Regions from separate parts of the Mus musculus genome. Here all the other regions are reported to be linked to region 3. The links are microRNA targets in miRTarBase. Many come from high-throughput screens and were not tested one by one. Region 3 holds a microRNA gene; each other region holds the end of a gene's coding sequence.

Region 1 (4,066 bases), not on the chromosome of region 3:
CACAAGAAGATATCTGCTTACCTTTTCAGTTTTTTATTTTGTATTTAGGAGGTCGAAAGCTGACAAAAGGGGGAGCCTGATGTTCCCTACTGACTAACTGGGGTCTCCTGTAGACCAGGCTGGCCTCAAACGCAGAGATCTACCTACCTCCGCCTTCCAAATTGCTGGGGTTAAAGGCGTAAGCCATCACCACACAGCCAATTATTTTATGTACACAGTGTGTATGCCACCTGTAGGGGTGAGCTGCGTTTACAGGCAGCGTGGAACATCGTGTGTGCTGGGAACTGAACTCGGGTCCTCTGCAAGAAGAGTTCTCTTCATCACTGAGCATCTCGCCAGTCCCTCGATAATTATTTTCAGGTGGTAAGAGCTCTGACTGCAACTCACAGACTTTAATGAGGTACAGAGAAGCCAGATACTCCTGTGGAGCCTAAAATGATAATCTAGGAGAGAAGATGATCAGAATGTGGGCAACTACTGCAGCCATTTTTGTTTGTGGTGTCGGGTTTCAATCCCAGACTTCTAGGCAAGAAATTCCTTTTTGCACTTATTTTGAAGGTAGAGCCAAGGTCAGCTGGAATTTTAGAGGCGAGTATGCAAGAGAGGCAGTGAGTGCCATCTCCTGTGTTCATGGGGACATCTAGGTGTGGAAGTTGAGGGATGGGAACTAGGGGTCAGCAATTTAGCTGAAGTTTTGTGTAAATTAAACTTGAGGTGGATGGTATATATGTAAACAAACAAACAAACAAATCCTTTAGAGCCTTTAGCACTCCACATTGAGACGAAAGACTCAGAAAACCAGGCTTGGTTATAGATCCTAGGCTGGGGATAGTTCAGTAGGTTTAAGAGCCCTGGCTGCTCTTCCAGGTTCGTTTCCCAGCACCCACATGGCAGCTCAGAACCAACTGTAACTCTAGTTCCAGAGGATACACTGTTTCTCCTAGCCTCTGTGGGCACCCAGCATGCACATGGTGAATAGACATACAGACAGCCAAATGCCCATACATAAAATAAAAATAACTAAATTTTAAAAATTGAGAGCAAGCGATCGAGAAAGATAAGATTGTGGAGTTAGAATAAGAATGGCCCCAGAGGCTCATATATATTGAATGCTTTGTCATGAGGGAGTGGCCGTACTTGAGAGGGGTTAGGAGGTGTGGCTTTGTTGAAGGAAGTGTGTCACTAAGGTTGGGGTTTTGGGGTTTCAAAAAGCCCATTCCAAGCCCAGAGTCTTTCTCTTCCTCCTGCCTGTGGACTCTTGGTTATGTCTCCAGCACCGTGTCTGCCTGTGTCCTACCATGTTCCTGTCATGATGAGAACGGACTAAACCTCTGAAAGTGCAAGCAAGCTCCAGCTGACTGAGGCCGTGGTGTCTCTTCAGAGCAGTAGAATGCTGATTAAGAAAGACATCCCTCTGCCTCTGCCTCTGCCTCCAGAGGCTGAGACTGCAGTTGTTTGCCACCACACCTGGCTGTGTTCTTCAGGGGGTACCTGGGCAGAAGCTGACTGAAGGATTCCAACACACACACACACACACACACACACACACACCCCACAGAACAAGTTACAAAATATCAAATACCACCTCATATTACTGTTGTTGTTTTTGTTTGTTTGTTTTGTTTTTTAAAGTATTTATTGCAAAGAATGCTGGACACAGTGCAATGCACAAGTGAAAACCAGGATAATACATTCTAGGGAAAGCAGGAAATGTAGGCAGTCCGCCTGTGAACCCCTGAACCAACTCAGCTAAAGCCTGACAACCAGCCCCCCATGCGACTGCCTTGCGGAAGCCACTTCAGGGGCTGGAGGGAGGGGCTGTTCCAGCACAACTCCTGCTCCACTGACATCCCTCTGCCCCCACCCTGGGCTCTTACACCTCTGGGTCCATCAGTTCCTGCTTTCCCGGGGCACAGAGGAAAAAGGCTTTGGTGGTCTTTGCCTCAAGCTGCATCCAGCCATTATCCACAGTGGCCGACCACAGGCATCTGCTATGGCTAACAAGTGTCCAGATGATATGATGAACGTCACTCAGACTCTGAGGGACACGGGGCAGAAGCTGCAGGGCCCATGTCCCGAAGGCAGTGGTATGGTCTTCCAGCTCCGAGCTAGGACATGGAGGTCTGAGGAGATGAGCCCAGGAGTCCCGCCCTAGGCCCGCACAGACAGCAGTTTGGAATAATGGCACTGACTTCTCAGGGGCAGATGGCAGCTGCAAGCTACACAGCCCAGGACTGGCAGGGCTGGAAAAGGTGGACTATTCTGCCAGATTTGGGCTTTGAACGGTTCTTGGATGCAGGGCATGGCTTCCCCATGGCTGCTCTGTGGACACTAGAGCAACCAGTTACTGCTGTAGAAAGTTTCTTGCCCTGCTCCACAACCTGCCTATCACCTTGCTGGTCAGCTGAAACATGGAGCCTGACTCTGCTATGTGGACCCACAAGAACTCGGGGCATGGGAGGCACCAGGCTTCATAAGGCTGTTTGCACTAGGACTCAATTTGTACTTGAATCAAAACTAGAGTGGGGCCAGCGACTCCTCCTGGGGTCTGGGCTGCCTCATGCCTTGTCCTTTCCTTCCTCAGTCCTACAGGTAGAGGCCAGCAAATGGGAAGACAGTCCGACAGGACCACCAGTTCTGAGCCTCTCATGACAAAGGCATGTCCCCGTTACCAGTGTACAGTTCTGTGTGGACAGTGACAGCAACGGCCAGGTAGGGGAGACCAGTTTCCATAAGCACTTTGGTGTGTGCACCAAGAAGGTACTTCCTAAAGCTGCCCTGCCTTTACAGGATCCCCCGAAAGAGAATTTAGGACGAGGCAGCCTGGGCCGCAGCTCTCCTGTATTCCAGTGTATAACTTGGTAGACGTTAGGAATGGGCGCCACGCATGGTCCTTTCCACACTTACTCTCCTGAGTACCCACAGATGCAGAGGTTAGATGTGGGTAGAAGCTCCCTGCTCCATCTTCTGTTCCAGGCAGGGAAGGAAGGGCTTTCCACTTCACCTGGGGTGGTGTCCACATAAGGCCCCATGAAGATCAAGCCTCTGGCTCCAAGAGTAGCTATGGAGAGGGCAGTAGAACTCTTCCAGGGGTTGCCTGGCCCCCATCAGGCAGCAGGGCCACAGTGGAATGTCTTAGTGAGAGTTTTTTGTCTCAGTGTCTCATTTAAGGTTGCAAACGTCATGAAGCAGCCAGCCTGGTGAGTGGACTGCTCGAGTGCTGTAGCAGAGGGGCTGGCAGCAGAGCACATAGCCCAGGGATTCTCAGCAGCCATACCCAACCTGTCACTGGTGGTCAACAAAGAGGCCGGTGGGCCAGGCTGAAGGTTCTGAGTGTTGCTAGCCACCCATGGCTTCAGGAGTGTTCCTGCATGGTGGCACCATCAGTACAGCAAACACAAGATGGCCTGGAGTGACCCCTCTGACAGAGGTCAGGGTCACTGGTGAGCAGGGACTGTGACAAGGGCTTCCTCTGAAGGCCTGGATATGTCTACATTCTGCACAAAAACAAAGACAAAGACTGTTCACCCTGCACAGGGATAGACTGGACACTTCTGTTGCCCTGATCACTGTGGCCACACAGACACTCGGACTCACCTTGGTAACTACAGCTGAAAGCCCCTAGCCTGCCCTAAGCAGGATGTCACCATCAAGCACCACTTGATGGGTGCTCAGATGACAGGACAAGGGTGGGGTAGGGTGCTGCCCACTCCCCACTCCACTGCAAGCAGCCCAGGTGCTACCCAAAGCAAGGCCACTCAACCTCCCATGGGAGAACAGGTCAGCTGGGGAAAGAGAGAAGGTGGGGGTGGGGGGCTTAGCCCCTGAGTGCACCTCCTTCCTGGCTCTAGCAGCCTACAGACGTTTCCTAGTCTGTAATATGGTTCATCTCCACAGGACTGAACCACAGGGCCCTGTGATACCCCTGAAGCTCTCACTGTGAATGACCCCCAAAAGCTACATAGCCCAGTTCCAGCTTTGGCCTGCTGAGCTTTGGGTATCTTAGGCTGGGGAAACGGGGATTTAAGACTTCCCTCGGTTCCACGAGCCTGTCCTTTGATGCCTC
Region 2 (4,066 bases), not on the chromosome of region 3:
AAGTTTTGTAGCAGTAGCCACTTTTGTTTGTACGTACACCAAGCATCTACCTAACATCTGATTGCTTTAAATTTATATGCAGTTACAGGAAACCTACGTATGACAATTATGAGTTGCATCCCCGGAGCCACACAGGACAGAGGAGTCCTTCAGAAATCAGTGTTCACGTTGGAATAGATGACACCTCAAGAAATTCTCCAAGGCTGGGTTTGCTGGACCGGATTGTCAACTATAGCAGAGCCTCCATAAATTCACTGCTGTCTGACAAGCGCTCCCTGAACAGCGTTGTTACTAGTGAACCTGACAAGCACTCGCTTCTGGTGGGCGACTTCCGGGAAGATGATGACACCACACTGTAAAAAGCCTTGGGGGATGCTGCTAGTTAAAGTTCACGTGCACTGACACAGCACTTACGTTGATGTAGAAGGATCTTATGTCAATCTCATGCTCTTACGTGCAGGATTCTATCTGAGTTGTATTTGGTAATGGTGAAAATATCTTTCTCAGGGCAGGAGCTCTGAACCTGGCATTATCTAGAAGAAGTTCCCAGCAGTTTTTGTTTCATTAGCGATACAGAGGGGAGAACAGTAAGTTTAGAACAAGCTCTATAGTTAGAAGTTGCTAATGTGCTGCTAATATGGCAGATCATTTTTATTTGACCAAAAAAAAAAAAAAAGTGCCCAAAGACAGGACGATTAAAAATGTGAAGATTTGAGAGCATGATTTTGAAGGTATTCTTGAGCCTATATACTTGCCCCACTGGGGAGCAATGGTTTTCAAAGCACTGTACAAAGCACCTAGTTTAGAAGGAAAACAGTTGCAACTGTCTCAAAACAGATGTGCCTTATTTATTGTAGGCTTGCTTTCACCTCATAATTCATGTGTCATTGTCCTTTAGTTCCTAAGAGCCTGCAGGATGGCTTTTGTCACCTCCTTTCAAGTGAGCCAAGTTTAGGTGGTTTTTCCTTGATAAAAATAACTGACAACAATCACTTGGAATGAGGCAGGAGAATTACAAGTTCAAAGCCAGACACTAAGACCCTGTCTTAAAACATTTTCGTAGCTGGCAGCTCTTCTGAAATCTTACTTTTCTCATCCTACTGTGTCGTTCAGAAGACCATAAGATCTACAGGGTTCTGTACCCTCTTGTTTCTCCACTGTTGTCAGAAATCTCAAAATCTTCCTTCAGTTTCCCCAGCCCTGTGCTAGCTTTCAGTTCAGCTTTGTTCACAGTAGATGCAGTCTCTCCATCAGTCCCAGTCGAGAAACTTAGAACCTCTCTCACTGAAAAATTCTTCAAAGATTAACACTAATATATTAACATATACGGGCCATAGAAAAGTATGTGGTCTCATTAAATTCATCTTTTGGGATATAATCACTTGGCTGGTATATTATAATTTAATAAAATTTTAGTCGCCTCTGTTTTAAATAACTTATCAAAATGACTTTAAAATATTCTCATCGCACAGAGCTGCTTTTATCAAAATACACACCAAACTGTAATAGAGAAATCAGAATATTCCTGGTTTATGATATCTTGTAGTTAAGTATGTTGTTCTGTCATTCAAAATATTTGTGTTTATAAACTCTTAATCTTTTATTTTCATGTACTTTAAGCTACTAGCATAATGTCTAACATATAATTTGTGCTCTGAAAATGTTCATTTCTCCTTTTCAAGTCAATATTGAGTATAAAAATCATGTTTTATATTACTGGAATATAAAGTGAAATGGAGAATGGGTTTTGTCCACTCCACCACTTTTCTCTCTTATTCCTTCACACCCAACACCCACAAACGTTTACATTTTTCAATGCTGTCTTTCCAGATTTGGAAAAGACCTAACTTCTATCTTAGCTATCTTAGAGAGGTGAAACTTTTGATGAAGGTGCTATTAATCTAGAAAGGCAAACCTGTTTTAATGAAGTATGAATAAGTTTATATGCTTAAACTGTATTTTAAACCAATACTTATGCCGTCTTAAGAGTTTGAGTTTGTATATTTGTTTCTTAATTCTAGGAGATCATCATAATATAGCTCATTGGCTTCTAGAAGAGAGAGCTAAACTATAGATGTCCAGTAGTTTTTTCTTGCTCTGCATCCATGAGAACATAAGTCCCCCAGTCGTCAGCCAGTTTCTCCTTCTGTTCTGTATATGTTGTTGAGTCCTCCTCCTGCCTCCACATCAAGTTATAGGGCAGTGAGAACAGCATTTCAGGTCTCACTACCAGAAAAGAACCTGTTGGAGAGAGGCTGTATTCCTTAGAGAGGAGGGTCTTTTAGAGAGGAGATCAAGCACGTTACTTTCAGTTGGCCACTGGTTTAAGTAATGGGCCACTGCTCAGAACAGGTTTTGTAAGTGCATGTATGTGTGTGTATGTGTATGTATATACACATGTATATACACACACACACATACATGCATACAGAGAGAGACAGCCGGAGAGACAGAGACAGAGAGGGGGAGAGAGCATACATCTTTCGAGGTTCTTTATACTTTCCTTGCCACTCTTCTGAATTCACTCAGCAACCGTTGTCCCTGTCAGAAGGCGCCATGGACACTTTGCTGTCCAGTGCTAATGCGGATTCAGCTAGGGGCCACCTTTTAACTTAAATATCCAAAGATGCCTTTTGAATTTAAGATTAAAACACAGCTAGAATATTTACTCTTGTAGTTTGAAAAGGATAGTTGTTAGGTGTGAAATAGAAATGTTGCTTTTCCTACTTTAGTATCACCATTTTAGGAAGTTACATTTGATGCCTTATGAACAAATAATTTTATATTATGCTTTAATTTTTTAAAAATTTTCTTCATTCAGATAGATATAGAGAATGATTGAAATAGCACTATAGACACGATGTTTCCAAAAATGTGACTGTGCATATATTTTCTGTACACAGCTTAAAATCAAAAACGTATAGTAGAGGATTTTTCCATTACGTGTAGATTCTGTTTTAAAATTATTTTTCATATTTATTTTACTTATTTTACTCTACTTTGTTATTTTTTTGTATGAGGCATCTGGTTAAAGCTTAAGCTGCTTCTCTTCTTCCTCTTCCTCCTCCTCTTCCTCCTCCTCCTCTCCCTCTTCCTTCTCTTCTTCCTTCTCCTTTTTATACAGACATTCCTCATAATCACTCCTTTGAGTTATTTTGCTTTCTGTATTAAAAAACATACTTCTTTACCAAATATCGATAGATAGATAGATAGATAGATAGATAGATAGATAGATAGATAGATAGATAGATAGATAGATAGATAGATAGATTGATTCATGCCAAATCTTTACCAACTTTTACACTAACTTTCTTAAGTCCTTTCGTCTGGTATGAGTAGCTAGCTATAACACAAAGCATGAATTCTTATTTCTCAATCACATTAGCTTCTTTAATGATGTTGATAATAATTGACTTTTGTAGCCAGAGCCAGGTGTCTCAACCTTGTGTTTTTAAAGAAATGTATTATGAAATTTTGGTTAGAATCCAAAACAGGAGCGGGCAACTTTGTGCAATATTTCGTTTCTGTAGTTTAGTTTGTTTTTTCTCATGTGCATGTAATTGATATTTCTGCCGAAGATGTGCCTTCAACTTTATAATTATAGTGTTGTTTAAAAAAAAAATGTTGTCAAGTGTCGCTGTGTTAAGTCATCCAGCCCCCTCTATCAGCAGATCCACACTGCCCTCGCTGTGCTAGTGTGGTTGTCTGGCTGTTGTTTCAGCTGTAAATCCGTGCTGTGTCAGGATCAGAGGCAGCAGCCCACATTCAGGTAGGGGACAAAAATCTGTTGTCTCTCAGATCCCGCTGCCCTGCTGCTGTCACTTAGAACACGAAACAAAGGAATGTGCATGATCTCTTCTCCTTTGTAGTGTCTAATAAATTCTTGAGACGGTGTCTCCCCTCCATGAGCTTTGCTTGATTTGGGGGAGCCCTAGGTGCTGTGAAGATCCCATTTACTGCCTGAACTTTTTCTGGGGAAGTGTGAGTGAATGTCCGCTCACCGCAGATAGAGCACTAACAACAAACAGGCTTGCTGAGCCCGTGCATTTATTGGGCTTACCGGCAG
Region 3 (4,066 bases):
CCCTTGTATGGTCAGGGGGCAGTTGGGGGACGGTAAAATTTAAACAGTTATACCAGGTTCTGAATTTTGGTGGGGTGTATATTCATTTTCTTTGTCTGAGACAGCTTATCTGCCTAGCCTTGAATCTGTATAGTAATCCTTCTACCTCCATCTCTAGAGTGCCAAAATTATAGGCATGTTCCACTCACAACACTTAGCCACCCACCTGGTTTGGGTAGGAATTTAAATTTGCAAATATAACAATCTGATACAATGTGATTTTTTTTTTCACTTTTAAGCATAAATGCACTGGGATAATATCCTCAGAACATTTAGTGTGAATTATTGTTGTCATCTTCTGTTCTGAAATTTGAGCTTTTTAAAGTATGAGTGTTCTGCCTTCGTGTATGTCTGCAGTGCGTGCTGGAGGAAGTGCTTAGGCTCCATGTGGGTGCTGGGAACTGAACCTGGGTCTTTTACAGCAACAAAATGCTCTTAACCACTGAGTAACTCTGCAGCCTTGCAACTTGAATTTCAAAAATTTCCATGTAAAAAATGAGCAAATTGAAATACATATTCAGTTGTCAGTGATCACCATACCTGACTTGGCCTAAACAATCAGTTTAGTTTTCCTTTCATAGCCATTAAATAAAATTTGGGTATGTTGTTGTTGTTGTTGTTGTTGTTGTTGTTGTTGTTGTTGTTGTTAGAACAATTTCTTTTTCAAATATGTTACATAAGCTCATTTTCCTAGAAAAAAATCACATGGAAATGGAATTTTTAACTATTTAGTAGTATGCCCTACAAATGATTCTGTCACTTTTCACATATCAAATTTTAGAACTAGGAATTTAAAATGTTTAGAGAAGAAACAGTTCCAAAGATTTTATAGTGGCATTATTGCCACATCAAAGATATTAACATACCCAGCTTTTAACTTCCCAAATTTGTTGCAGTATTTCATGCCTTTAGCTTTGCTATTTAAGTAGATTTTTTGTGCCCTGAGAATTGTTGCTCTGTCATCAGAACTTAAACCTGGTAGTGTTTTCTCCATGTTCTTAGACAACTTCATAAGATGGCTATGGTTCAGAAGCGTCCTACAAAGGCTTATATGTATGTTAATGGTTCATTTGCAGATAGGGAACCAGAAAGGGTCAGTGTACTAGAATAACAGCCATGGGAGACACTCAAAGGACAGTGTCAGGGTTCGGACCTCAGATTCTGTATTCTGTCATTGTGCTCCAACAAATTACTGGTTGCTTATTATTAAATTCAAAAAGTATCCCATTATTCTGATGCAGTCAAGATGATGATATAGCTTGGGCAACATGCCTATAAATGTTTGTGAAGTGCTAAGCTTTATGGAAACAAGATGAATTAATATTAGAAGTTTTATAAGGTAAAAAGTAAATGTTTCTAAAGAAAAATATTAATGGAAACAAATAGAGTTGAAGGGGGAAATAGGACAATTTGGTTTGATCTATCTTCTTAAATTGTTGTAAAATTCTGTTTTCTTATACGAATAATATTAATTTCAGGTATTTAAAGATTGCCATGTATTCCTATGTACACTCAAGTTACCTTCTTAAGCAAAACATTTTGTTTTCTTTTCAGAATGGCTTTTTTTTCCTTTTAAGAACATTAGTAAAAAGTTGAACTATGTAAAAACCCAACAAAGAAAAATTATTTTGGTCCTTAGGCCAGAATATAAACCACTGAATTTGGAACGGGGCATGATGGTGCACGCCTTTAATCCTAGCATGCAGGAGGGAAACCAGGCAGATAGATCTCTGAGTTCCAGTCCAGCCTGGTCTATAGAATGAATTGCAGGACAGCAGCCACTGTCCTCAAAACCTCTCTCAAAAAACCACTGAATTTGAAATTATAATCATTGTATAAAGATAAAGGACAAAATCACTTTTAGCAGCTTTTATCTTTATTTTCAGACTTTTTTTTTTTAAGCTGGCACACTTGAAAGCAAAGGTTTGAAGATTTAAAGACGTTTTGATATTTCAAATGACCCAACATGAACGGGAATGGAGAAATGGCATTGACCCACTAGAAAACATTTGCTACACAGTAATCTAGTTTGAATGGAAAATCTGGTATGAACTGGAATAATAAGAACAGTTCTTTGTGAAGGGATGGCTAAGTCCCCCACTAAACAGAAAAGAGTCTTCTTAATAGTGTAAGAAAACCTAGATATTCACACACACATAAAATGAAGTTGGAACTTAACGTAGTAAAAATTTTGTTTCAGCTAAGTCAAAGTCCTGTGGTATAAAATGATACTCCTTTAAAGGACTAGCCTTTTTAACTGGGAAACACACAAATGGTTACTTAGGCTTGAGCTACAGGATTTCTGATATATCCTTTTAGGAAACCAAATAGACCTGTTATCCTAAGATGATGTTCTGGGTAATAATAAATGACACTGAACTCACAATAACTATTCCAATATTGAGATAAATCTTGTGTTCATGTGTAGATTGGGGGTTATATATTTTTGGGGAATATGTTTCATGTGTATGTCTTCTAAATATTTTGCTAGTATAAATTTCTTGAAACTGAGCTCTTACATGTTTGTTCTTACATGTTTCCTTTAACATGAAGCTTTGTCCTATGGATTTGGCTTTGAAAGATGTGCTGCTCTTAATAAGGTAAAAACCAACTTTTGTAGCTATTTCATGTGTTAAGCACATTCAAAAGTTGTTAGTTTAATAAATGAGGTTCTTAAGTTGGTATGGGAAAATGACTTGCTTTTCTCGTTTCATGACTACAATAAATTACAGCACTGTATTAAGTTTTCTGTACGCTTTTATTAAACTTATGATATGGAAATACTTTTTATTCTGCTGAAAGCCTATAAAATTATGCACATACCAGTGTTAGATTTTTTTCAAACATAGATTTTATGTGTTCTACTTTTTCCTAAAAAGCCTTTTCTGTAAATTACTATTGAGGTGCTAGGAGTTTTCAAAACCAACCCTTGGAGTAAAGTAGCAGCACATAATGGTTTGTGGATGTTGAAAAGGTGCAGGCCATACTGTGCTGCCTCAAAATACAAGGACCTGATCTTCTGAAGAGAGTACCTGTCTTTTTATTCATAGCTCCTATGATAGCAATGTCAGCGGTGCCTTAGCAGCACGTAAATATTGGCGTTAAGATTCTGAAATTACCTCCAGTATTGACTGTGCTGCTGAAGTAAGGTTGGCAATACTCTACAACTGTAATTCAATGTGTATTGATGTTACTTGTGTGTTTACACGGTTTTTCTAATTGCATTAGTGATTTTATGTTTGGTATGATTCTGTAATGATGTTAGTAACAACGCTCTACATATTGTGTCTGTTAAAATACTATATAATTGTGGGATGGTAATGCAGCTCAGTTGGCCAAGTGCTTCTTGCTAGCATGCACAAGGCCATGGGTTTTAGCCTTACCACTGCATACCAGGTACACTTGTAATCCTAGATCTGAGGAAGTGGAAAAAAGAGAATTAGAGGCTTAACATCATCCTTGGCCATAAAGCAAGTCTAAGACCTATGTAAGGATCTGTCTTTTAAAAACAAACAAAACATAATGACTTCTGTGTGAGGAACTGATTATAGGACTTCTAGATACCCAGATTTGTAAATGCTTGGATCTCCTGTATAAAATGTCTGCTCGTGACCAGTGCATATCCTCCCTTATACTTATTTAAACTTATCTCTACATTGTTTTTAATGTGTAGTGCAGTGGGATGTTAACATGGATAGTTGTATTATTCAAGTTATTCTCTTAATGATGAGAAAAAAACTGTACAATTCAGTACTAATGCAGTTTTTGTCCAAGAAATAAGTTTTTTGGTTTGGTCTTTTGAGCCTGGGTCTCACCATGTAGACCAGGCTGCCATGAAACTCACTGAGATCCTCTTGCCTCCGCCTCCCAAATTCTTTGTTTAAAACTGTAGGCCCCAATGCCTGGCCACCCAAATGTTTTGAATGTGTGGTTGGTTGGATCCACAGATGGAGCACTGACTAATAATATAACAAGTATTTTTAAGTCTTGAACACCTTTCCAGAGTTTCTTGAGAGCTACAGTGGTA
Region 4 (4,066 bases), not on the chromosome of region 3:
ACTTCCGAGGCACAGGATGCAGGGCTTACGGCTAAGCCTCAGAGCATTGGAAGTTTTGAGGCGGCTGACATCTCCACCACCGTTTGGCCGAGTCCTGCTGTCTACCAATCTGGATCTAGCTCCTGGGCTGAGGAAAAAGCTACTGAGTCCCCCTCCACTACAGCCCCATCTCCTCAGGTGTCCACTACTTCACCTTCAACCCCAGAGGAAAATGTTGGGTCCGAAGGCCAACCCCCATGGGTCCAGGGACAGGACCTCAGTCCAGAGAAGTCTCTAGGGTCTGAGGAGATAAACCCAGTTCATACTGATAATTTCCAGGAGAGGGGGCCTGGCAACACAGTCCACCCCTCAGTGGCTCCCATCTCCTCTGAAGAGACCCCCAGCCCAGAGCTGGTGGCCTCGGGCAGCCAGGCTCCTAAGATAGAGGAACCCATCCATGCCACTGCAGATCCCCAGAAACTGAGTGTGCTTATCACTCCTGTCCCCGACACCCAGGCAGCCACAAGGAGGCAGGCAGTGGGGCTACTGGCTTTCCTTGGTCTTCTTTTCTGCCTAGGGGTGGCCATGTTTGCTTACCAGAGCCTTCAGGGCTGTCCCCGCAAAATGGCGGGGGAAATGGTAGAAGGCCTCCGCTACGTCCCCCGTAGCTGTGGCAGTAACTCATACGTCCTGGTGCCAGTGTGAGCTGCTTGCCTGCCTGCCTGTGTCCAGAGTGTGATTCGGACAGCTGTCTGGGGACCCCCCCCCCCATCCTCATACCCACCTTCATCCACGCTGGGGAAATGGGAATGGAGAAGCTGGACCCTCCAGGGGCTGTGGGCTCCATCCAATCCCCCCTCCCCCGAGGGGTGGCCCCGGAGGCCACCCTAGACCACTATTCACTTATCAGAGACAGAGCAGGTGACCTTCCAGCTCCTCTATATTTGAAAGAATCCTCTGCTGCTGGCTGGTTAGAGGGGCCCTTGACACCCCAACTCCAGTGAACAATTATTTATTGGATTCCCAGCCCCTGCGACGACACCTGTTTCCCGCGCGCACCGTGGTCCGCCCATATCACAAGCAGCAGGCCAGGCCTATCTGCCTGTCCCCCTGACCTCCTTGTGTCTCCTGGCTTTGCTGCAGTCGCCAGCCCTTCTCCTCCCCGGCCAGCTGCGGTGCTATCTGCCCTATGTCTCCCTCTATCCCCTGTACAGAGCGCACCACCATCACCATCAACACCGCTGTTGTGTCTTTTCTTGCATGAGGTTAAAGCTGTGTTTTCTGGAGCTCTCCGGGAAGGGAGACAAGCTTGCGAGAGGGTTTAAAGTGTTCCTCCCCAGACTTGGATGTGCTGTGAAGGCATGCTGCGTCTGAAGGAAGGGTCCAGTCCCCACTCGGCTACCAGCACCACAAAGTGCCCCACCTGTAAAAGGAAAGAAACGTGGTCCAGAGCTGGCAATAACCTATGGCCCTGACATCATCACTTTCTCTGAGATCCTTGTCTCCACCCCTGGGTGCAACCCCACCCCTTATCAACATTAATAGTCACTGCCATTCCACTGGACTGACATTTTTGTACCCTGTGATTCTGAGGGCTGGCAAGGAGTGGCTTGAGAGTGCAGATCGTACCCTGTATGCCCCCCCCCCAAATGGAGGCTGAGTTGGGGACTTGCAGGAACAGAGGCCAACTCAGATGGCTTCCCCTGTGTTCTCACTAGAAACCCCTCCCCCATGCACCAAGGTGACAGTCACAGGTCTGCCCTGGCTAAAGGACAAGCCACATAGGAAAGATTAGGACAAGCCCCTCGGAGGCAGAGGATCCAGGGTAAACCCCTGGAGTGGCCACAAACCCAATTTCAGTGTAGGGACTTGTGCATGTGTGTACTTGCATAGTCAGACAGAGGCTGCCAGGGTCCTTTCCTGTCTCTGAGAGCAGTGTTCACGCCAAGGACTCACCTTTGCCCCCATTGCAGGCAGGGCCAGAACTCCCATAGCATTCTCCAAGAGCCCTGTGACATTTTCTGGAAGGGACTCTGCCCTGGGCGCAAAGTGACTGCTGAAGCAAGGAGCAGCTGAGCAGCACCCCAGCGGAGCTGAGCCGGCAGGCCACGCCCCTCGGGGGGGGGGGGCATTTCTACCCACCCTGCTCTGAATAGCTCCAACTTCACCTTAGGAGCCTCCCAGGGGCGAGCTTCACCCAGAAGCCAGTGACTCACTCCTTGATTGGTGGAAGCTCAGTTGGCTCCTGAGAGTGAGGAAGCCAACCCTTTGTCGACCCTCCTCCTGGGAAGCCTGTGGGCGGCTCTGATCATGCTCCACAGAACCAGTTGTAGGCCTGAGCCGCAGCAGCCCGAGTGCACTATATCCTGGCTCCTTCGGTGGGGAACCTTTAAGGGTTGGGACACCCGTCATCGGACTTTGTTGGTTCCTCCCTCCCAGAGCAGAATGTGGGCCGTAACAATCTGAGGAGGACTTTGAAAGTTGTTGATCCTTTAGGGTTTTTTTTCAAGCATCATTACCAATGTCTGTGCCATTTTGTATTTTACTAATAAAATTTTAAAGTCTTGTGAATTAAATCAGGGAACTTTTCTCTGGGGTAGGCCTCGGCCGGGGTGGAGGTGGGGTGGGAGCATGGGGAATGGGAGAGGAGAGGGGACAAGTTCTAAGACCTGGGTCTCTAACTCATTTGCACCAGGGGTAGGGATTTTCCCAGAAGGCAGATGGGAATGAGGAGAACTGGACCCTGGCCTGGCCCAGTGTTGCCTCTGTGTGTGTAATGGTGACCCGGTACCTTTCACCTCCCTGGGCCTCTATGCACGTGGGTGTGACTGATCTCTTGGTCTGCCAAGACTCAGGATCCCTGTGGGTCCTACTCAGTGTCCAGGAGCCACCACCCTGATGTTACTGTCACTTATATATGATGTCCACATGTTCCTCTACACTGTCTCTACTCATTCCTGACTCGTATAAAGACGAAGAGGGACTAACTAGCTCTTCTCAAGAAACCAGGAAGCTCCTAGATAGGACCCAAGTGTGAGCCGTTCAGCGGCCCTTCCGCTTTTCAATATACAACATTAGAGTCCCAGCGTACAGTTGTGCAGGTTGAAAACAGCACAGGGTTATCTCAGGTCAGGTCCAGCCTATGGTATACAATCTTTCATGAATTCTAAAACGGACATTTTTTTCCCCCTCACTGTGATGTGTTAGAGTTGGGATTTACTTTGCTATCCGTGATTCTGCTGGGTTTTTGTTTGTTTGTTAGTTTATGTGGTTTTCCTTCTGAATAGGGCTAAAACCCCAGGACTCAGGCGTGCAAGGCAAAGCGCTGTACTCCTGACCTCTGCACCCTCTGCTCTCTTCTTCATGTTTTGTTTTGACACATTGTCTGAGTTGCTCAGACTGGCCTAAGCAGATCTTATAGTCCTCCTGCCTTCAACCGCTTGAGTAGCTAGATTTTATTAGTAAAATGCAAAATGGCACATATTCTACAGTTATTAAATGTCAGAACATCTTTCTATCAATAACATCTTAGACTCAGTGTCTACATTGTAGTTTTAAAATTGGAGGCAGCATGGCAAGATGGCTCAGCAGTTAAGAGCACTGACTGTTCTTCCGAAGGTTCTGAGTTCAAATCCCAACAACCACATGGAGGCTCCCAACCACCTGTAATGAGATCTGATGCCCCCTTCTGGTGTGTCTGAAGTCAGCTACATGTACTTATGTATAATAATAAATAAATCTTTGGGCCAGAGCAATCAAGGGTTGAGCGAGCAGAGTTGACCGGAGCGAGCAGGGCTGACCGGAGCGAATGGGGTTGACCAGAGGGAGCAGAGGTCCTACACCACATAAAGGCTCACAACCATCTGTACAGCTACAGTGTACTCACATACATAAAATAAATAAATTAAAAAAAAAAACATTGGAGGCAGCGAGGGGCTGGAGAGATGGCTGGAAAGAGTTAAGAGCACCTTCTGCTCTTGTAGAAGACACAGGTTTGGCTTCCAGCACCCACATCAAGCGACTCACAGGAGATCTGATACTCTCCCCCTCCCCTGACACTCCAGGCACCATCACACGGGCAGACACC
Region 5 (4,059 bases), not on the chromosome of region 3:
AATAGCAGCATCCTGGGCAGCCAATGCTATCTCATGGCGACAAGCTCGGTATGAAGCAGGAGAGTCTTTCCAATGGAGCCAATTCTACCCTCTCCCTACCCCCAGTACTAGTTATTTTATATAATTATAGATTGTTGTAAGAAAGAGAAGAATTTGGCATTTTGGAATGTTGTCCCATGGGAGGCATTGTGCTTCTTAACTGCCCCTTTCTTAAATGACCCTAAATTCGAACAGACAACAAAACCCACTTTCCAACTGACTTGGATACCATGCATTGCGAAAGCACAGTTGAGAAAACCTGCAAGAACTTTCTCCCAATAAAGAACATCAGTAGGACTTCCCAAACAAGTTATAGTTCATAATCAGATATACGACAAAGCGATTGGTTCCCCACAATGACAGCTCACAGAAACACACTCTGACTTGACAACACTGAGAACAGGGATCCATCAGGTAAGCAAATCATCCAGGCTGCTCCCTGAAAGGGAAGAGCTTCTAAAAAGAGGAAAGTATCAAATGACGGACTTCTCACTTCACTTGTGGACAAATTGTACTTTATAAGACAAAACAAAGCAATAGCAAAGAAATACAGGAACACACACACACATACACACACACACACACACACATATACAAGACCTGTACTGGACATCTGCTTGTTATGTACTTGAACTTGACTGTGGATCTGCGTGGCTGAAAGGTGTATTGGAAACAGTCCATGCACATTATACATATATACATATATCCAGGGCTGTGAAGTTGTCAAATGTTGCAAAATATGCTTGCTGCCTTATCCCATGGCTATGATCACTCTGGTGTGGAACACAAGGTCCCAACCCTCCCACTTCTATAGTCTAGCTTAGTGTCTGGCTGTCTCTAGAATGGGACAGTTGGTGAGAAAACCTGAGTGGGCATGCTCACATCCCAGCTATGCTGTATCTATCTGCATTCATGAGCCACTCGGTGTTACTAGAAGATGGCTTGGATGGAATCCACAGAACCTTAATGGTCAAACCTCTCCAAGGACAGAGTTGGTGAGCATGCTAACCTGTCACCAAAAGGGCATTCAGTAGGACAGGTGTGCTATAACTCAATGACTCCTGCCTTCTGACACATGAAAGCTCTATTGTACTCACGTCAGTGAGATGAGAAATTCAGGCAACTGCCTAAGTTGCAAGTTATCTTGCAGAGAGTGTTGAAGGAAAAAAACAAAACAAAACAAAACAAAACAAAACAAAACAAAAAAAAACCACTTAACAGAACTTGTCACGAAGCAATCTCAGATCCTTTTTAAAAATTAAAGTTATTTGTATCTGATAGCATACATGATGTGCTACAAAAAGAAAAAGGAAAGAGAGAAAGGAAGAAGAGAGCAGAAGCCAACCACAAACCTAGCTTACAAATAAGTATTAACTCTTCAGTTGTATGTGGTGTGGCGGAATGCTACCGCTGGAGGTTGCAAAGCCCAGAGTCAACCCGGGGAATCAATTTCCTGGCAGTCAGGAGGTGGTCGGGTCAAGTTTGTGGGCTGACAGTCTGGTTGACTGACTTTTGCTCTTGAAAATGAGCAGTGGCTTCATAGGAAGAAAAACACATTCTACAGACCATTAACCCAGACACTGGACTGCAAATTCCAAGATCAAAACAAGAGCAACATTACAAGACCCCTTCCCCCCCCCAAATAAGGGAAGAGCTATAAAGCTGCAGGTGTGTCTGATATTGAGAAAGAGAAACTGATGATGGCTCATGAATCTACCTGGGCTGCGACAGGGACTACCATCAACCTCTACCCATCACAGCACATGGCAATTCCCCATGAACTCACCAGCTTTGACACATATACACTAGGGTGGGAAACTCGAACTTTTGTCCTGAATTAAAGATGTCACCAACTGCTCCCTTTGCACACCGTGATGTATGCAACATGCACAATCACGCTAATGAGAAGACCTGTCCGAACTGTTAAATGTTTGCACTTAACAATCTCCACAAAGCACAGTGACCACCCACTTGGGTCTACTTGCCTTCCATTCTAAACTGAACTCTGAACAGAGAGCTGGAAAAATATCAAGCATCCAACTAGATGCTGTTTTTTCAGACCATGATTTAGCCAAAATGAATGGTGACTGGCTGACTGCTGTGACTAGTCCAATGCTACAAAGAGAAAAGAACACATTTTCTAAATGCAGGGATTCAACCTTGAGACCAGTGTGTTACAACAACGAAAGAGGGCACATTCCAGGAACCCCAGAACAAACTCAGCACTTCATGACAACGGAGATGCTGGCCAACTGTGCTGGGATGGAGTTACAACATTAGGTCTGGAGTTGCTGTTAATTGCTAATGACTACCAAACTCAGATGGGGAAAGACAGGAGACAAACAGCCTGGCTCCTCCCTTCTCTGGGATCCCTAGAAAGTGCACACCACCTTACTTCCCCCCCTCCCCTTACCCCGCCTGTTACAACCCATGACTGCCTCCCCCTCCCTCCAGATTCAAGAAGTTCACAATTCATTAGGAAACAAACATTGCCAGGTACCGTATTTCAAGAGTCTTAACACTGTTGGACTCAGCAATACTTTGTCATATCATATATCATTTTCTTTTTCTCTTTTTATTGAATAAAGCAGCTTTGAAGCTTATCAGGGCCCTGCCCAACATTTAGTCCAAAAAAAAAAAAATCTGTTATGAACTTTTTAACCTTGGGCTAACAGCCAAGTATTCTGTACAAGAAAAACTGTAAAATATTTCATAGTTTTAATTCTTAAGCCATTCTCCTTTCTGGCATCCTGTACACTTCTTTAAAAAAAAAAAGTAAAAATGACAAAAACAAATATTAACAAAAATCAGGGACAATATTTTCAAGCAACAAAAACTGGGGTAAGGGAAGCTTATTCCAAAGGTGTATTTGAAACGGGTAACAACATAATAAAAATTAAGAATTGCATAGCGCTGCACGTTTATAGCCTTCAGCAAAACAAAACAGAAGCTATTTGGTATTGATACAAATCCATCTATTTGATAGTTAGTCACCCAATATTATGTACATATTTTATATACTGAATGTCACTGTAAGTCTCCTTCTCCACACTCTTTTTTCTGTTGGTGGGTTGTTGGTTGCTGACTTGATAAGTTTAAACAAAAACGTTTTCTGGTGTTTCATTTTTCCTCCGAACAGACTGCATCAATGTTCTCTCAAAGTGTCCTGCGTGAGCAGACGCGGCTCTCTGATACATATCATTCGCTCTTTTAAAAAGGAAATAATCCACAGTGTGATGTGTCTGGGTTCACCACACCCAGCGACACCCAGGCTACACCAGGCTGGACCAAGCGGCCCCAGGCGCAGGCTCTTCGGCCCTGTCTACCTTCTGGTCTCCAAAGTCCCAACTTGTAGCTGGTAAAGCTTCAGAAAGCGTTAACAAGCACCATGGTTAAAGGCCTCTTTGTCCCTGCACGGAGAGATTTTTGCATTTCTTTCTCTCTGTGTGTTGGTTGTGTGTTGTGGCTTTAAATTAGAAAGAAAGAAAGAAAGAAAGAAAGAAAGAAAGAAAGAAAGAAAGAAAGAAAGAAAGAAAGAAAGAAAGAAAGAGGATAAGGTTAGAAACGTCTGGTCATCCAACAGTCCGAGGCTGCGTGTCTTCCCCGACTTCTTTTTGTCCAAGAAAGCTCTAGTCCCATGTGCAGACAGCCGGCTTCATTTCTGCAGCTCAGTTCACAGGTCGGGCTGGAGAGGAGCCCTTTGCTTCTCAGAGGCCTTGGGTGGCTTGAAGGTGAGGAACTGGATCCGAGGGCAGCGCTTCATCGCCTCTGTTGTGCATATACTGGGTATGCTAGTGTGACATTGAGGGAGTCATTGTGCTGCACGAGGGAGGTGTGTTGATAATGTAGCACCAGCTCCTTCAGGGAGCTGTACAGGTTGTAGGGCTCGGCAAAGCCATAGCCGGTGGCAGTCTTGTTAATGACGCAATGCTTGACTTCGCCGTCTACCCTGGAAAGGGGAAGGGAACAAAAAAGTCTTTTTCAGTGGTTCTCAGATGATCTGGAATGCTGCAGGGTATT
Region 6 (4,066 bases), not on the chromosome of region 3:
GTAACCCGGGAGGAAGAACAGGGCTGGTCACTCTCCCTGTGCTCGGCAGAACAATTTCGAAGAGCCAGTGGCCCTGCAGGAGATGGACACAAGCAACGGAGTGTTACTACCATTCTACGATCCTGACTCCAGCATCGTCTACTTGTGTGGCAAGGTGCTGGAGGCTGGGCTGGAAGAACCAGGGCCAGGATGAAGATGTGAGCACGCTGTCTGGCAGTGCCATCTAAATTGGCTGGTTTTGCAGGGTGACAGTAGCATTCGGTACTTTGAAATTACGGAAGAACCACCTTTCGTGCATTATCTGAACACATTTAGCAGCAAAGAACCGCAACGGGGTATGGGTTTCATGCCCAAGCGGGGACTGGATGTCAGCAAATGTGAAATCGCCAGGTCAGCACTTTTGTCCCTCCTGTCCCCCTGCCTCTATTTCTCATGTCAGCTCCCGGGCTTCCCCTAATTGTGCTGTTCTTTGGGGAAAAAAGAAAGGAGCCATACTAGTCTTTTTCAGTGACAGTCCCAGCATTGTCCTACTAGCCTGACATTCCAACAGAGGTGTTTTAACCCAACACTGATAATGTGTGAATGGTAATTACTCGGCGTGGTGTTGACTTTCAACACCTTAGTCACAGACATAGGGATTTTAAAAAAGGATGGGGAGTCAGCAGGAATGTTGAATTTCCCCCTCCCTCATAGGTTCTACAAGCTGCACGAACGAAAGTGTGAACCCATCATCATGACTGTACCGCGAAAGGTGAGGAAGGAGGGCGTTGGCTGGAAAGCATCAAAACAGCCATCCACTGCTCAGCTCATACAGGCCCTCCTGTCCTCCCACCCCCTCAGTCAGACCTGTTCCAGGATGACCTATACCCAGACACGCCTGGCCCTGAGCCTGCCCTGGAAGCTGATGAGTGGCTATCAGGTCAGGATGCAGAACCTGTGCTCATTTCGCTGAAGGAAGGCTACGTTCCCCCCAAACACCGTGAGCTTCGGGTCACCAAACGCAACATCCTAGATGTGCGCCCGCCGGCCAGTCCTCGGCGCAGCCAGTCCGCCAGCGAGGCCCCCTTGTCGGTAAGCTCTGAGATCTGACCACGCCACCCTGACTCTATCCCCTGCCTCCTGCTCTCTGCCATGGTCTCTTCTGTCTCCCACATGCCAGCAGCAGCACACCCTGGAGACATTGCTGGAGGAGATAAAGGCCCTCCGAGATCGAGTGCAGGCCCAAGAGGAGCGCATCACTGCGTTGGAAAACATGCTCTGTGAGCTGGTGGACGGCACAGACTAGCACTGCCTACGCGCTGCAAAGCTCTGCACACTGCAGACTCAATGGGGCAGGGCGCACCGACTGGCAGCACCGGCTTTTGGTCTGGAACTCTGCACCCTGCCTCGTGGGGTTGGAATCAGGGGAGGGATCAGAAAAGAAACTCCATCTCCCACAAGAGGCCTGAACACACAGATCTTAAGTGGCAGGGACTGAGCTCCGTACTAGGTCCCCAAACATTGCAAGATCAGGCCTCGGGGAAGCCTGGGGTAATGTGGCCTTAGCAGTGGTGCTTCATGGTGAGGTGGTGTCCCTCTCTGTCCCTTACCCTGGGCAGGGGAAGTGCTTAGTATTAGCGTGATCCTGGGGATGCTGAGGGGCCTAGGCCTGACCTCACAGGAATGGCGATTCAACAGATATCCCCAGAACCTCAGGAAATTTCCAATATTTCTCCTAATAAGCAGCACCCTGTTTCTATTGCCAGAAGAGCTTAACCCACTGGCTTCAACCATAATTCTATGGCAGAGGGCTCTTCCCATCTTCTCACTTCCAAAGACGGCAGCTTCTTGGAGACAAACAGACCCCACCAGAGAAATCTCAGGAGAACAGGCACACGGAAGCAGGTTCAACACACACACACACACACACACACACACACACACACACACACACACACACACACCAGCACTCTGCTGACTCTTATAGAAACACTGAGGCATTACTAATGAAATACTTCACTAAGTACAAGTCTGTGCCTCCTGCACAGAAAGCCAATATGCTGCCCCCATTCCCCAAGGCACCATGAGGGAACCAGGCCTTGCCCAAACTAGGGGGCACCTCAGTCCTTTTTGGAAAACTGAGGAGACCTAGCAAATGCAAGCTGGACTGAGGACCCATCAGGCAGCTTTTTATCCCAGGTCATCCATCTTTGCATTGAGGTTCCCAAGACCCCACCCACCTCCCACCCCTGTGGGCACTTCTCCCCAATAAAGTTAAGTAGAAATGCATCTGGTTTGAAACCGCTTTTATTTGTGCCTCAGAATCAGTCTGGTGCCCCTGGCATCAGGGAAGGGAAGAGGAAGAACAATTTTGCTTTGTTGCTCTTTTCTTGACCCCCTTTTGTGCCCCTTCTGAGCCCCTGGCAGAGAGAAGCCAGCCAGAAGGCAGCCCAGGACAAGGGTGTGGCCCCTGCTTCGTGGGGCCTGTGCTTCTTTAGGTGGGTAGGGTGGAAAAGGGAGAGCCGGGGTTAGCACCATTGGATAAAGGGTGTTAGTCGGCCCCTGAATGGGGGCAAGAGGGGTGCACAACCACAGAGGGCTAGCAGCAGCTGGTAGGAAGGGGTGGGTGGTGACAGTGGTGCCAGGGCCCTCATCAACCCTTTTGTGTCGGTTCTAGTGCTTGCCCCCAAGCCAATATGCTGCCCCCATTCCCCAAGGCACCGTGAGGGAACCAGGCCTTGCCCAAACTAGGGGGCACCTTAGGCACACTCCCTGATCATAAGAAAAACGTGCTGCGGGCATGGGGGTTCCAATTCCTGGCTGCCTAAGGAGAAGCTAGGACCACCCTGAGACACAGGACAGGTGTTGGGACTGGGGGGGCTGGGTACCCCGCTAAGTGCACTTGACGCTGAAATGCCGGGGTGGGGAGGAGCTAGGCCCTTGACGTGCTGGTTTGTGTCTGGGACAAAGCAGCGCGACACAGCACGCAGGGCGATCAGCTGCCTCCCAGGGGTGAAGAGCTGAGATGCGAAGGCTTCAGGGACAGTGTCCTGGAGAGGGGTCAGTGAGCAAGAAGGAGGACCAGCCATAAGGAGCAAGGGACGGGACAGTGCTCCTCTCAAGGATTCGTTTCCTTTTCAATACCACCTGCCTCCGCCCTTGGACAGATCTGAGCCCAGAGAAGCGGATTAGGGGTCACCATACAGCAAAGCAGGGAGACCAGCACCCCTCTAGGGCTCTGGCCTGGAAAGTGATTCCACGCCTGTATCAAACCCCTGGCATCTCAAGCCTGATGCGCTGCTACACCCGCAATGCGATGGCTCCAGACTCCAGCAGCCGCTCGGCAGGTGCGCAGACCCGGGTCCTGCGTGGAGTGGGCGAGGGTCCCAGCAGGAGGCGCTACTGTTCGGTCAGCGAGAGCCGCAGGATCCGCTCCAACTCTTCCTCCTCCTGGCGCACTCGCCGCCGCCTCTCCTCCTGCTCCTGAGCGGACAACTCCATAGCCAGCCGCAGCTGCTCGTCGTAGCTCCGGAACACATGGCTGCTGGAGCCGGGACCTGGGCTGGGCCGAGGGCTGGGCACTGGAGCCGGGGGCATGGGCTGGCGCTGCGGCGTGGGTGGGGCGCTCCTGGGGGCGGGGAGGATTTGTCGAGCGCTCCCCGCTCCCGGCACACCTGGGACACCTGCTCGTAAGCGGGGCAGGAGACATCGTGGAGGTCCCAGGGCTGGGCAGGCTTGCCACCCTCTTGGGGAAGCCATGAGTCTCGCTGGGCTGTCTGGGCCCCACCCAGTGATGGCAGATCCCAGGTCCCGCCAACCTGTCTGTTGTTGAGGGTCTGAAGGTCCAGGGAGCTAGGTCCCTGATCTCTGCACATGCCTGGAGCACTGGCCACCCTCCCTGTGCCAGGAAAGGGGGTTGGCAGAAGCCATCTTGATAACGGGTTCTCGATACCAGGTGTTGAAGGCACTGAGGGTTCTCTGGGCCTAGTAGGGTTCCAGTGTCACTGTGCAGTATGATGGCTTAGTGAGGATCTCTGTGCATGTGGGTCTGGGGTAAGAGAGGGAACAGGCACCTCTAGGCTCTCTT
Region 7 (4,066 bases), not on the chromosome of region 3:
TCTTTAGGCCACCTTTGTGTTTTATCAAAGAAACAGAATAGTAACTAGAGGAACCAATGCCCTCTTCTGCCTTCTGTGGACAATGTATATATGCAGTGCCAACATACATGCAGACAACACCCATAAACATAAGATAAAAATAAATTGATAAAAAAGCCTATAAATTGATAAGTTCAGAATAGGAAAGAATTCATTTTAAGAAACCATACATAGTAAAAATAAAAATTTTAAAACCTCCACTGAGTAAAAAATTTGTATTTGCCACCCCAAGTGTTTATTAGCAATACACCATAAAAAGGATAAAATACCCCAAAATGCAGAGGATATTTATAGCAGATATAACTAGACAAATATTAAGCTCTTTGAGTACCGAAAGTTAAAATCCATCTATCTGTGTATGTACCAGTAAGGATACAAAGACAAGCCGGGCGTGGTGGCACACGTCTTTAATCCCAGCACTTGGGAGGCAGAGGCAGGCGAATTTCTGAGTTGGAGGCCAGCCTGGTCTACAGAGTGAGTTCCAGGACTGCCAGGGCTATACAGAGAAATCCTATCTCGAAAAAAACAGTAAAAACAAAAACAACAGAAATAGGCCTAAGACATAAAAGGCATCTTTATAGGACTTTCCTATCCTATTTTTACAAAACAGAAAACACGATGGCTTCTGATACTGAACCAACTGTAGCATATTCAGCAGGAAGTAGTGTGCAACTCTTCCCTCAGCCAGGGTCCACAGAGGTCTGATATGAAGCAGACGCTTCCCTTTCACCCCAGAGTTGTTCAGACTAAATGAGTTGATGCATGGAAACAAAAGATTAAACTCTCTTCTCATTGAAAGATTAACTATAAAAAATGAATAAAGGGATTGGCGAGAAGATGGCTCAGCAGTTAAGATGCCACACTGCTCTTGCAAAGGACTCAGTTCTGTTCCCAATTCACAGCTGACTCCAACTCCAGCTCAAGGGAATCTGATGCCCTCTTCTGGCTTCCACAGGCACCTGCACTTATATGTGTATACTCTCACAGACATGCACACACATACACAAAACTGGGAAAAAAAAAGTCTTTAAACGAAAATATGGGGGGCCAGGGAAGATAAGCGAAGAGACAAATAGCCATTGCTGGGTTAAGAAGTCTGTTGAAAAGGCAGGAAATGTCTTTAATAACAGAACTCAAGAGACAAGAGACAGGTAGATCTCTCTTAAGATTGAGGCCAGCCTGGTCCGTGTAATAATTAAGCTTCAGGACAGTCAGAGCTACAAAGTAAGGCCATGGAGGGGGTGGGTAGGGGTAGGACAATGGGGGGACGGGGTGGGGGTGGGAGGATGGACACACAAAAACAAAAACCAAGTCTTTTAAAGCACACAAACAAAGGAAGGCTCCTGGATAAAGCCAAAATCAAACATCATCAGTTATATTAAAAGGCAATTGGCCCACCCACTAAAAAATAATTGCCTGACAAAGTATAAAAGGGTAGGGACACTTCATTCATCAGATCTGGTAAAGAAAGCAGGCAAACTCTCCAAAAGATTGCAAATGGATAATGCCATTCTCAGAAGAAAAAAAAAAGCTCTTCACTAACCTATAAAGCTAAAAAAAAAAAAAAAAAAAAAAAATCTAACCTTCATTAATAAATGTATTTTATTTTAAAGGCATTTAAATTTTCACTAATTTACAAATATCCTTTAAGTATTAACTTTAAATTATTTATCTCTAGTAGAACTATAAATAACCTCTGTAGTGAGTAACATACACCAAGCCCCTCAAAAACTCTGCAATTTTACTTAGAAATTTCACTTCTCAAGTGTGTCTAATGGCTAAGGCCTATAAGCCTTGAAGCAGAAAAGCAAGGTCAAAGCTAACCTGGGCATCTTAGTGAAACCTTGTCTCAAAAATCAGGTCAACTGATGCTGGTGATGTAGCTCAGTGGTAGAGCACTGCTCAGCCTGTGTTAAGCCCTAGGTTCAACCCCCAGCTTCACAGAAAAGAACAACATAAGTTCATTTCTAGAACAGCTCTGGGGACTGGCAAGATGTAATGAACGTCCAAGGTGTTGCGCACATCACCAAGCACTGGTTATATAATCATTTCATAAGATATCCAACTGTTTAAAAGCTATAGAGCAGCCATAAAATGCATATTGTGGTTGAGATGGTTGAGATATAAAACATTTAACACAGGAAATGTTTGCAAAACATGAAGCAAACTGATAATACATATAAAATGGCTACACAGAAAGCAGATCAGAGTACACTCGACTATTGACAGACTAAGTGGTCAGCTCAAGGGGGACTGACTGCGACTGCATGCTTGAGTGTGGTCTCTCCTTTACAGCCTTCTAGAAGCACTAGTTCATTCCAGATAAGGAATATAAAACAATGTGTTTTGAAATCACCTATTAGCAGTTTTAAAACCACAGGTTCCATACTGTTCTTACAGCAACCTTTTCTTCATGGGAGAGATGTGGAAAGTGCTGACAGCTAGAAGCATCCACTATGGAATCAAGCCCTTCCCAGTATGTGTCTAATCTAAATGTGTTTTCAGTCCAACTTCATGTATGAACACTGCTTTTAAAGAACGGAAACTCAAACAAGTACCAAGAACACATCGCCATGAGCTCGGGGAGCTGCTCTGATTGGTATTTTATTTCTTCTTTACAAGTTCCACGTAATAGACAAAGGCTTTTGATAACATACTGTTATCTTTGCTCAAAACGATCATATAATCATTTTAAACAACACAAATGTGTACATACATGACTGAGGTTTCTGCAGCCTATAAACACCTCTTTGGGTTTAAAAATGAAAAAAGCAATGTACTCACAAGTCAACTGTAACTCTTAGAAAAACATCGGTTTCCTTACCAAACGTGAACGCCCTGTACAGGGACCTATCATCGAGACAGCAATGAGTTCAAGCCAAGGGAGGCCAGGAGCAGCTCCCCACACCAGCTCAGAAGACCCTCCCCCGCCCAGCACCTCTTCAGCGCTCCTTGTCCTCATCCTAGGAAGACAGCAGTCACCCCAGAGAGACAGGATCAGCCAATGCACTTGCTGTAACATTTCTGAGTGTCTTCCACAGTGTTTCACATCCAGCATCTCAGGAACATGTCCATGCAGGCACGTGGACCATTCTTTACACTTCATTTCTTGAGCGAGGGAACCAGGCCTTCCTAATTCACTTTAGGTGCCTGGGGTAACAAAGTATTTCACCAGAAAGGGTGTAAGCAGCACTATCTGATAAGAGTACAGATAAGGAAAATGCAGCTAAAGAAAACGTGTGCTCTACTCACACTAAAATATCAGACCAATGCACAACATACTGCAAAACTGTAACACAATACGGCCAAATACAAGGTTCACATATTAAACTGTGCAAGCTGTGAAGAGCGTCTTCTGAAAGACAAACTGGGTTCTTACTTTGTAGCTACCTTTGTGTAACTTAAAAACCTGCTGTCCCTCAACAAGGTCTGACGCTGGTCTTGATACTTGTTAGGAAGTTCGATGAGCCAATGAGAGCTCTGCAGCCAGCTCTCGGGGTGTCCCAGCCCTGTCTTCAGCACTCATCCGAGGACTGGGCATCAGCTTCGTCCCTCACTTCTCGGTATCTCCCTGAAGACTCCCCTTCTGGATTGTAGCTCTGCATTTTAATATTCAGTCTCTCGGCCAGTTTCTGTGCTGCGAGCTTTGCCTGCATCTCCTTTAAAACAAACACAAAGGCCAAGTTACACATCCACAGCTCCCCTTAGATATGTGGCAGGACCGGAAATAAAGGAACATTGGCTCCCACTGTCTCTCTGGCAACACAAGCAGCTGACATTAGTGTCCTGTCAAGACATGGGGCAATGTTTCCGAGAGCTGTCAGCCTGCTGCAGTTCCCAGCTGCAATCAAAACAGCTCACCTCCACACAAGACACTGAGAAACCAGCTTGGCACTACAGCAGCCATTAATAGACACACGAAGTGTCGCGTATGCAGTGAACCACCTGCCTTTGTTAGAAATCACCAATGTGGTGCTGACATCTTCCACTGACTTTCTTCTCTAGACTAAATCATGTTTTCTAGATT

Evidence for each region. The annotated mature microRNA mmu-miR-15a-5p reads UAGCAGCACAUAAUGGUUUGUG and lies in region 3 at 2,980-3,001, shown strand. An mRNA with a match to its seed (bases 2 to 7 or 8) in the 3' UTR can be bound and repressed. Matches are read on the target gene's strand: a 7mer-m8 pairs with bases 2 to 8, a 7mer-A1 pairs with bases 2 to 7 and ends in A, and an 8mer does both.
Region 1: the mRNA of Pfkfb4 is a reported target of mmu-miR-15a-5p. The part of its 3' UTR that is shown has no 7-base or 8-base seed match.
Region 2: miRTarBase lists Atp7a as a target of mmu-miR-15a-5p. Seed matches in the 3' UTR shown: 8mer at 374-381, 8mer at 628-635 and 7mer-m8 at 3,811-3,817.
Region 4: miRTarBase lists Cx3cl1 as a target of mmu-miR-15a-5p. Seed matches in the 3' UTR shown: 7mer-m8 at 938-944.
Region 5: the mRNA of Pik3r1 is a reported target of mmu-miR-15a-5p. Seed matches in the 3' UTR shown: 8mer at 3-10.
Region 6: miRTarBase lists Ankrd13b as a target of mmu-miR-15a-5p. Seed matches in the 3' UTR shown: 8mer at 2,580-2,587.
Region 7: miRTarBase lists Polr2m as a target of mmu-miR-15a-5p. Seed matches in the 3' UTR shown: 7mer-m8 at 3,225-3,231.

The regions. Positions count from the first base shown.
Region 1 is chr9:109,029,760-109,033,825 of GRCm38, reverse strand. Pfkfb4 (6-phosphofructo-2-kinase/fructose-2,6-biphosphatase 4) reads right to left here. Exons shown (of 14, transcript NM_173019.5): 14 at 1,601-3,497. The coding sequence ends at 3,438. Among named protein-coding and RNA genes, the nearest start is that of Shisa5, 6.8 kb to the left of the region's middle.
Region 2 is chrX:106,124,257-106,128,322 of GRCm38, forward strand. Atp7a (ATPase, Cu++ transporting, alpha polypeptide) reads left to right here. Exons shown (of 23, transcript NM_009726.5): 23 at 83-3,904. The coding sequence ends at 359. Among named protein-coding and RNA genes, the nearest start is that of Tlr13, 17 kb to the right of the region's middle.
Region 3 is chr14:61,631,010-61,635,075 of GRCm38, reverse strand. It overlaps Mir15a (microRNA 15a), which reads left to right and starts at 2,966; the gene lies at 2,966-3,049. Dleu2 (deleted in lymphocytic leukemia, 2) reads left to right here. Exons shown (of 7, transcript NR_028264.1): 4 at 2,593-2,639. It overlaps Mir16-1 (microRNA 16-1), which reads left to right and starts at 3,104; the gene lies at 3,104-3,196.
Region 4 is chr8:94,779,873-94,783,938 of GRCm38, forward strand. Cx3cl1 (chemokine (C-X3-C motif) ligand 1) reads left to right here. Exons shown (of 3, transcript NM_009142.3): 3 at 1-2,555. The coding sequence ends at 684. Gm51543 (a long non-coding RNA gene) reads right to left here. Exons shown (of 2, transcript XR_003947437.1): 2 at 1,229-4,066. Among named protein-coding and RNA genes, the nearest start is that of Gm51543, 4.1 kb to the right of the region's middle.
Region 5 is chr13:101,681,082-101,685,140 of GRCm38, forward strand. Pik3r1 (phosphoinositide-3-kinase regulatory subunit 1) reads right to left here. Exons shown (of 16, transcript NM_001077495.2): 16 at 1-3,988. The coding sequence ends at 3,799. Among named protein-coding and RNA genes, the nearest start is that of Pik3r1, 85 kb to the right of the region's middle.
Region 6 is chr11:77,468,217-77,472,282 of GRCm38, forward strand. It overlaps Ankrd13b (ankyrin repeat domain 13b), which reads right to left. Exons shown (of 15, transcript NM_001373882.1): 15 at 2,269-3,607. The coding sequence ends at 3,379. Coro6 (coronin 6) reads left to right here. Exons shown (of 10, transcript NM_139128.2): 6 at 50-154; 7 at 245-390; 8 at 694-751; 9 at 841-1,071; 10 at 1,163-2,267. The coding sequence ends at 1,285. Among named protein-coding and RNA genes, the nearest start is that of Mir12181, 2.7 kb to the left of the region's middle.
Region 7 is chr9:71,475,843-71,479,908 of GRCm38, forward strand. Polr2m (polymerase (RNA) II (DNA directed) polypeptide M) reads right to left here. Exons shown (of 4, transcript NM_178602.3): 4 at 2,595-3,698. The coding sequence ends at 3,555. Among named protein-coding and RNA genes, the nearest start is that of Polr2m, 8.1 kb to the right of the region's middle.